Linked DNA regions of Cricetulus griseus. Each later gene encodes a partner of the first gene's protein in a complex. Links are inferred from orthologs where the notes say so. Each region holds a gene or a part of one and is shown in the gene's direction. Other genes may lie near its edges. The genes, in order: Polr3b and Polr3gl.

The links.
Region 2: Polr3b (region 1) and Polr3gl share a complex: the UniProt entries of both Homo sapiens proteins name them as parts of the RNA polymerase III (Pol III) complex. The link is inferred for Cricetulus griseus from reciprocal best matches to the Homo sapiens genes POLR3B and POLR3GL.

What each region holds. Positions count from the first base shown.
Region 1 is NW_023276806.1:150,815,582-150,820,081, reverse strand, and holds the start of Polr3b (DNA-directed RNA polymerase III subunit RPC2), read left to right. Parts: upstream 1-1,424; 5' UTR 1,425-1,532; coding exon 1,533-1,604; intron 1,605-1,746; exon of another isoform or gene 1,747-2,132; intron 2,133-4,500. UniProt on the Homo sapiens protein: Catalytic core component of RNA polymerase III (Pol III), a DNA-dependent RNA polymerase which synthesizes small non-coding RNAs using the four ribonucleoside triphosphates as substrates.
Region 2 is NW_023276806.1:59,906,227-59,910,761, forward strand, and holds the start of Polr3gl (DNA-directed RNA polymerase III subunit RPC7-like), read left to right. Parts: upstream 1-1,610; 5' UTR 1,611-1,665; coding exon 1,666-1,767; intron 1,768-1,886; exon of another isoform or gene 1,887-2,027; intron 2,028-4,535. UniProt on the Homo sapiens protein: DNA-dependent RNA polymerase catalyzes the transcription of DNA into RNA using the four ribonucleoside triphosphates as substrates. Specific peripheric component of RNA polymerase III which synthesizes small RNAs, such as 5S rRNA and tRNAs.

The sequences.
Region 1 (4,500 bases):
AAGGTTTTTTTCACAGAATGGTAAAACTTTAAAATTCTATTAGCAAATCTTACGCTTTCTCTGTTTTCATCCTTGAAATCCTTCACCATATCAATGTTTTTTAATACATTCCATTTTCTTTGGAGACAGGGTTTCATGTAGCCCAGGCTGGCCTCAAACTTGGTAGCTAGCTAATGATGCCCTTGAGCTTCTGATCGATCCTCCTACCCTCACCTTCTAAATGCTGGGATTAGAGGTATGTGCCACCCTGTGAGATGTCTATGAGCCCCAGGTTTATTCGTTGTAGTGTGGACCAAACCCATGCCTTGGTTCCACCTACCAAGCACTCTACAGACTCCCCACCTCTTACACCTTCGTCTATGTTTTGTTAACATACATTGAAATATCTAATCTATGTAGGGTTTAGATCTGTCTTTCCCCAAAACTGCTAATTAGCTATTCTAATATCAATTATTGGATTTTCTCTACAGTTAGGTCGTAAATCCCTGAAGAAGTAGGCATATTTATCAAAGTAAACCTGGCCACCAGGTTCTTCCAGCCTCCCTCAGGGACTTCCTGTTACAGGGTATGGCTGGCTTAACCCGCCCTCTCCCTCCTTCCCCCAACTCTTCAGCCCAGGGGCTGGCCACCCTTCCCTATATAATCCAAACATTTTGGTTACCTGCTCTCTTCCCCCTGCTTTAACTTTTTGCCCTCATTGCTGCTGTTCCTGCCCCTCCTCCTCACATGGCTCAGGGTCATGTCCACTCTAGACTATCCCAGATGTCCCTGTCTCTAGCTATGCTCACCCTTTTATCAACAGTAAACTTTCTCCTCCACAATACCTAGATGCAGTAATGTCCTTCCTATTTATTGATTTAATTTACTTATTTATCATTCACCTACCCATTTAAACGAGTAAATCTTTCCACGCTAAACTTGTGTGCGGGTAATTTATCTGAGACCGTCACCTCCGAGTTTAAGTAACACTACGGTGTTAGGACTTACTACAGTGCAACCTGTCATGGCCATTTGACGGCGGTTGATGGCTTTCCATTACACGCAGGCACCACTAATTATGTAACCAACCACTTTTACTAGACACGGTTAACAGTTGTTGCTCTTTTGTGCTAGGCAACACATATAGCTTTAGAATAAATTAAACGAATTCTCTGCTTCAGGAGCTCGTGTTGTGGTCACTGTCTGCTATCCAGTAATTCTTCTGATTAGTTATACATTTAGAACACTATATTTGGCCGTGCTCAATCATTCTGAGGAATTGGCAAGAACCCTGTCTGTCGGGGGTCTAGGATTAGCCAGGCGAAACCTTGGAACTACACCAGGGGGCGCAGTTTCCCACATCCGGGTCGGTCACTTCCGGGTAACACCGCAGGTTGGGCCCGGACTAAGCGGAACCTTTCTGAAGTGCCTCCAGTAAACAAGCGCAGCCGGGACACTTTAGGACAACGCACACCATTCTCCGCGTGCTGTTTGCTTGGAGCAGCGGGGCGGATGTGAACTTTCTGTTGACTTCTTCCTTTACCCCGAGGGGAATGGACGTGCTGGCGGAGGAGTTCGGGAGCCTCAGCCCGGAGCAGCTGGCTGCGCCGATCCCGACTGTAGAGGTAAGCGCCGCGAGGACAGGCAGCGGAAGAGGCTGGAGGCGACTCAGGAGGCGTTGCCGGGAGAGCACGGGTGCCGGCGGGGGCGGGCCCGAGGCTTCTGCGCATGCCCAGAGCTGCGCGCGTGTGAGTCTTCGGGTCTGGGTCTGGCGTGTCCCGGGCTAGGAACCTCCGCGAATGGCTCTCGGGTGAAGCCTTCCTAATGCCGGTCTGCACTGTCAAGAACTGGCCCTCTTATTCTTCCTTGGGGAACCGGAGTCATCTTGGCGCTGTTCATGAGGTCCCGGCTTTGGTGCCAAAGTTAATGTGAATCCCACGCCGGCCATCGTATCGTGTTCCTTTTAGCTCAGAGTTTTTTTTTTTTTTTTTTGGACTGCAGACGTATTTTAAGGATCTTGAATATTTCCGCCAGTTTTTGATCTTGTATTTTCTGAGGGGCGCTATATCGGATTCTCAAAAGTTAATAATTGCTACACAGTGAATTGCCTGATGAAGTTCAGTTACTGACATGATTAAATCCATCCTGAGAAGGTACATACAGTCCCTCTGAGCCTCGAAATCTTTGGCATAGAATGGGAGAATTAGCATTGAAGATGATCAGGGGAGAAATTCAGGCAAAGGGACAGGTTATGCCTGACCTTCAACAATACCATCAGGTGTCTCTGAGGAACTGAAATAAATCCAGTAATAGTGGGGAAGTGGGAGAGTTGATAGAAAAGATGAAGGTAAAAGGAGGTACCTTTGAAGGGTTAAATAGGGAGGTGACATGACCAGTAACTGTACTGAATGATAAACCTTCTTAGGGCACAGAGAGGTAGTGTAAGGGTTGAGTATACCACTGGCTGCTCTTCCAAAGGACCCAAGTTTTGTTCCCACTATCACACTTAAACAGGGAGTTGCATATAAACAGGGCTTGGGGGCCCATAATCCCAGCATTTGGAGTGTGGAGGTAGGTGGCTCAGACTGAGTTCCAAAATTCTGTTAGGGAAAGTACACAGTATTTATGTTTGTGTTCTGCTTATTTCACAGTGTTTCACTACTCCTAATCAACAGGAGCTGCTCACAGGCATGTCCAACCTGTAGTTCCTGTAGCTAAGAGTAGTTAAGAGCGGTGGCCCAATACAAAATTGTAAACTTAAACTTAAAACTTTATGAGGGTATTTTACTTTTTTTCTCTTTGAAATTTTTTTGTAATGGTCCTCAAGTGTGAATTTTGTAGATCACAGTATTGTTTTACAGTGTTAATGTAAGGAACCTCCTTAAAGTTCCTTACAGTCATCTTTAACTGCAGCATCAGCTGAGACTCTCTGCATCTTCCACACAGGCCTCACAATGCTTTCTGCTGTTTGTGTTCCCCAGCCCTGACTCAGCATTGAACCATACTACACTAGCTCACCTGAAACTGCTGTCATATCTTATCCACTACCTTAAGACTCTTCCATGTATCCACCCTCCTGGCCTTGTCTAACCCATAGCGAGGCATACGTATCCTCAGTGTCCTCAAGTCTGCCAACTTCTGAAAAGTTTCTATACCCTGATAAGCCTCTCCACCAACCCAGCAATCCAAATGGGACCAAATCAAACTGAATTAGAAAGAGCCCTGTGCACACCTTTATCACAGTGCCTGCTAAGTGTCATTGCCTTTGCTTACATGCTCCTTTATTATGTTAAAAACTCCTGAAGTCAGGAAGCATGCCCATCTGTTCACTTGTTTTCAGTTGCCAAGACATCACTACCAAGTAAGTACTCAAGAAGATCAACAAATATTTGTTATCAGTCAGTAATAACTGGCCCTCAAAGCTTGAATAACTTCTCCTACCATGATTTAATATGAAGGAAAAGCCGGGCGTTGGTGGCACACACCTTTAATCCCAGCACTCGGGAGGCAGAGGCAGGCGGATCTCTGTGAGTTCGAGGCCAGCCTGGTCTCCAGAGCGAGTGCCAGGATAGGCTCCAAAGCTACAGAGAAACCCTGTCTCGAGAAAAAAAAAAAAGAGAGAAAAAAATATGAAGGAAAAATACACTAGAAATGATTAACTCAAATAAAATGGAGCTCCTGTCTAGAAAGTTGTAGAGGGAGTATCAGTTAGAAAGTTGAATAGTGAATAGCTAAAAGGAAATGACATTTTCATTTAATTCATCTTATTAAATATTGCTCTAATAAGTACTGTTCAGATTAATCTTCATTAGTTCAGCAATGAAATTGTAGTTTATTTCACAAAACTGAAAAAAAATTAGTATAAATAAGTGCAATGCTAATTTATGAGTCTCTGGTGTCATTTTAGGCACTTCTGTTTAGTTTTTCAAGACACAGATTCTCAGTGTAACTTTGGAGCCTGTCCTGGAACTAGCTCTATAGACCAGGCTGGTCTTGAACTCACAGAGATCTGCCTGTCTCTGCTTCCTGAGTGCTGGGATTAAAGGCCTGCTCCACCACTGCCTATCGATTCTAGGCACTTCTTTGGCAAAGTCAGTAATATTATGGTTATTCATTTAGGAAAAAATGCCAAGACCTCAGAACCCCACTACAGAGACTAAGACTGGAAAAAACAACTGACAGTATTAGAAACACAATGGACTGTGGCAGATACTGTAGGAAAGATTTATTACCTTTCCAAGGAAGTCATATCATGGATACACAGAATTTAATCTACAAATAGGAATGCGGGGAAAAAAATAGAAGAAAGTAGAAATATACAAGAGAAAAGAAATCTCAGAATAAGTAGAATAAGCAATGGTGGGAAAGAGGCTGGAGAAATAGCACTGGCCAGATTTGGTAAAACAAACACGTTGAAGACTTTAGATTTTAATCCTATGTTTAGTCCAGGTGGTGGTGACACATGCCTTTATTTCCAGCACTAGGGAGGCAGAGGCAGGTGAATCTCTGTGCCAGCCTGGT
Region 2 (4,535 bases), about 91 Mb from region 1:
GCAGAGTGGTGTAGGGAGGCGGTTGGGATCTGCAGTGGCATCCACACAGATCAGAGAGAGGCAGGAGATGCAGCTCCTCTCTTCCCGTAGTTTAAATATCAGGGAGAGTATAGCCTGGAATCAGACAGCAGTACATTCCCGATGCGCCTGTCTCAAACATCACACACACCCCAGAGACACTTGGATCTCAGTTCCCTTGGGTCCCTTAGGAATGTAAGGAAGGTGGTTCCCAGGGCATTTTTAGGGCAAGGGGCATTCTCGGATTCCCTTTCCCTCCGTATTTCAAGGGCTGTCCGCAGGAGAGAGGAAAGGGGCAGAGCAGTGACGGAACCCTGTTACACGGTGCTCGCTCTCATCACACACCCCTTTACTCCATTTTCCCGTCTCACTTGAAGGGCCCTGCCTGAATCACTCCTTGTCTCTTCCTATCTGTTGCTCTCACTGCCTCTGCCTCTCCGTGCCACCTGCCCTGTCTCTATGGTTACCAAGGCTTCCATCTGCATATTTTAGGGATGAGTTTGTGTCCAGTTGGAAGGTACCAAGGGTTTGGAAAGCTTACCAAGGATCCTAGAGAACTCAAAACGATGGAGGCCACCATATACAGATGAAAAAAAAATGTTACTGGGAAAGGAAGAGAAATATTTATAGGGAAAACACCCACTTATACTAGATATTGATATGTCGAGTGCTTTGCTTAGCGTACATCACCTCAGTAAGATGGGAACTGTTGTCTTCTTGTAACAAATGGTAATGAGGTTAAGCAAGTTCCCCCCAAGTTTCATCACTATGTTTTCATACTATTCCAAGAACTGGGCACTGGGCAATCCATCCACATACAACTTCCCAGTCTAGAGACCATTTTCTCTGACGTCTGGCATATTCTTGTTGACTGCTCATAGCTTTCTCTCCATCCTGAGGTATTTCCCTCTTTCTACTGCACGAAAGCACGACTCCCCCCGCCCCCATCTTTACCCAGGGGCTTGAAGGACACTGGGTTCCTGCCTTCTCTCCCCAACGACTTGTCTGATCCCCCAAGCCCCCTCCCTGCTGGCATTTCTCAGACACAGCTCCAATCCACGGGGTGTTGGGGGCGCATTTTGGGGCTGAGCTTGGTAGCACACAGTAACAGCAGAGGCAAGGGTATGAGTTCAAGGCTACCCTAGACTGGGTAACCATATTGTCGTCTTTTTTTTTTTTTAAGTATGTATTGGTGGCGTTGGATAGAGACTGCATAAGATTAAAGAGAGGGTCGGAAAGTCACCAAAAGACCTTGCGAGTGGGGGTGGGAGGGTGGCGCGCACGTCGTAAGGCCAGAAGGGGGCGCCAGAGCCCCTGGAGCTGGAGTCTGGCGGGTGGGAGCCTCCAGGCGGGTGCTGGGAGCGACCTCGCCGTTGGGCAGCAGTCTAGTCTCTCCCACCCACCCAGGAGGACGTTTCCCAGCAGCGGCTCTCCTCTGCGGGCTCAGCCACGTGCCTGGATGAGCTCCGAGGAGCAGGTCGTCTTGCCATCCAGAGTCCGTTCCGCCCGGGCCGAGGCGGAGGCTCTGCAGCCCCAGGTCTCAGCTCGCCCGACTCGGCCAAGCCTCAGTTCCGGTTAGCTCGCTCCCTCCCCCTCCTCCCCTCCTCCCCCTCCTCCGCTCGCCAAGATTGGCCGGGAAACCCACCAATGGGGAGCTCGGGGAGGCGGGCCCAGAGCGCGGGCTGGAGGAAGAAAAGCGAATTTCAAGTTGGCCGCTGCGTGGGCCCCGGAGTGGGGGAGGGACGGCAGGTAAGGCTTGAACTCGGTGGCTCCGACCCGGTTTGGTCCGGTACTTCCCGAATTAGTCCTCCGCGGCCGACAGCACCATAGGACAACGCCTCCGTCAGCCTGTCGGATCGGCCCCCTCCCGGGTCCCCTCCCTCCCTCCCTGGGCTCCCTCCCATTGCTGTGTTTGTTGACTGTGCATCAGAGACAGACACAGGGCTTGCTGTCGTGCCTGGGGACACACAGCCTCAGTTACAGTGCCAGCCTCTCGCGCATCTATTAAGGTCAGCCCCCGTCAAGAGCCCGACAGACTCCCGTTATCTAGCTGTCCACTCAGCTGAAACGCTCTCCCCTTCCCACCGCTTTCCTGGACCGCCTTTCCTGAATTAATAATTGAGCCCCAGCCCGACCCTGCCTGTTCAGCACTATTGGAATCTCTCTTAATTTTAAAAATCACATTATTTGTGTATTCGTGTGGGGGGGGGGCGTGGGCGTGCGCGCCACGGCTTGCGCATAGAGGTCAGAGGACAACGTGAGCGAGTCCGTTTTCCTGGCCACTTGGCAGCAAGAGTATTTACCATTTCGTGGGTCCCGCACTCTCCCTCCATCCCTCGCATCGTTTTTATTGGCAGACTCCTATGTGCTAGGATTGCAGGTTCTCTTTTGAAGTTTCTATTCTTTGGACCGAAGCTTTGGGGGAGGGGGGAACAGACTGTGGTACTGAACACATTGTGCTCAATAAACGTTAATTGAATGGAATTGATTTGTGGGAAACAGCGCCCCTGTCAAGGGGACGAATTAAAATTCCTAATATAATAAGGGAAGAAAAGAAGACAACATAGTATATAATTAAGGGCCTTTAAATTGGTGGTTTATTGCATTAATGTTTTATAATTACTCTCAGATCAGAGAAGGAAAACAGCAAAGAGAACGGGAAGGGAGGCTTTATGTCTCACAAGGTCTCAAGTGTAGAAGGTCTATAGACTCATGTGGCCATTTGTTCAAGCAACAGCTGTTTACTGAGCACCTACTACATGCCAGACACAGTGCTGGACAATGAGGATCGCAGAAAACCCCCTACTAAAATCTATCCAGTAAAGTGTTATTTAATGACTATGTGGAAAAATATTTTTGAGACAGGTTCTTGCTATGCAGTGCAAGCAGAATTGGCCTCGAACTTCTGATCCTCTGTCTCAGCCTTCTTGAAAGGCTGGGATAACAGGCTTTCATCACTACACCCCAAATTAAAAAAAAAAAATAACTGTGAAGAGTGAATCCAGCCTTACAAACACTGAGCAATAACTCTGTCCCTGAGCTACACCTCTACCCCTGTGCCAGCATCTTTAATAAAAGAATTCAATAGTTCTTTTCAGGTTATTCCACCATTTAACTTTTTTTTTTTTTTGGTTTTGTTTTTCGAGACAGGGTTTCTCTGTGGCTTTGCAGGCTGTCCTGGAACTAGCTCTTATAGACCAGGCTGGTCTCAAACTCACAGAGATCCGCCTGCCTCTGCCTCCCAAGTGCTGGGATTAAAGGCATGTGCCACCAATGCCCGGCAACTTTTTCTTTAGATTTGTTCAATTTATTATTGGTGGGGCGAGGTGGCGTGTGTGCCATGGCACGTATGTGGAGGTCAGGGGAATGAAGTATATTCTACATTTCCATTGGAAGGGGTTACAACAGGAAGGTTGCACCAACATCACACTTTTGTGTATGTGTGTGTGGAGGGGTGTTTCACCTGCATGTCTGGGCAGTATGTGTATGCAGTGCCTGCAGAATCCAAAAAAAGGCATCAGATCCCCTAAAACTGGAGTACAGACAGTTGTGAGCTGTCATGTGGGTGCTGGGAATCAGTCAGGGTCCTATGGAAGAGCTACCATGCATGCTCTTAACCGGTGAGCTATCTCTTCACACACACCCTTTTTAAGACAGGGACTCATAGAGCTCAGGCTGGCCCCAGACTCACTATAGAGCCAAAGATGAACTCAAACTTCTGAATGACAGTATTGGCCCATAGCTTTGTGCTAAGCAAGTTTTATTTTTTGTGGGATTTTATTTGACTTTTTTTTTGGTTTTTTTTTTTAATATATACTAAAGATTGAATTTTAACCTCATGGATTGCTAGGTCGGGGTGTATCACCAGCCCTCTGCATTCTTCTTGTTTGTGGTGTGTTTTGTCTGCATGTATGTCTTTGCACCACTTGTGTGCCCTCAGAGAGCAGAAAAGGATGTTGGATTCTCTGGGACCAGGGTTACAAACAGTTGTGAGTCACTGTGTGGGTGCTGGGAATCTAATCCCAGGTCCTCTAGAAGAGCAGTCAGTGCTCTCAACCACTGAACCATCTCTCTAGCCGTCCTCTGCATTGTTAAAAATAGAACATGCTTTTGACTTGTTAACTGTAGGATATACATTTATTCTACAAAACTTGCAAATATAGTAATATAGGGATAGTGTGCATTATTCCATAATCCTAATGTAGTGTTTACTGATTACTATTTTCCAAGTTTAAACTTTATTATTGTCATATGTACACACACATGCCACAGCATGCATGTTGCAGAGGCCAGCCATGTAATGTTATATCTCCATTTCACTTTTTTGTGGTCTCGGGGATGGAACTCAGGTCCTTAGACTTGCACTGTCATGCAGCAAATGCCTCTACCTGCTGAGCCATCTTTCCTGCCCATTCCTAGGATCTGGAGATATATTCTTAGTTTACTCTGTATTTATGCATAAATTTGTGTTTTTATAAGTAAATAGGACACTCAATAAATTCAACTTTATACCAAGA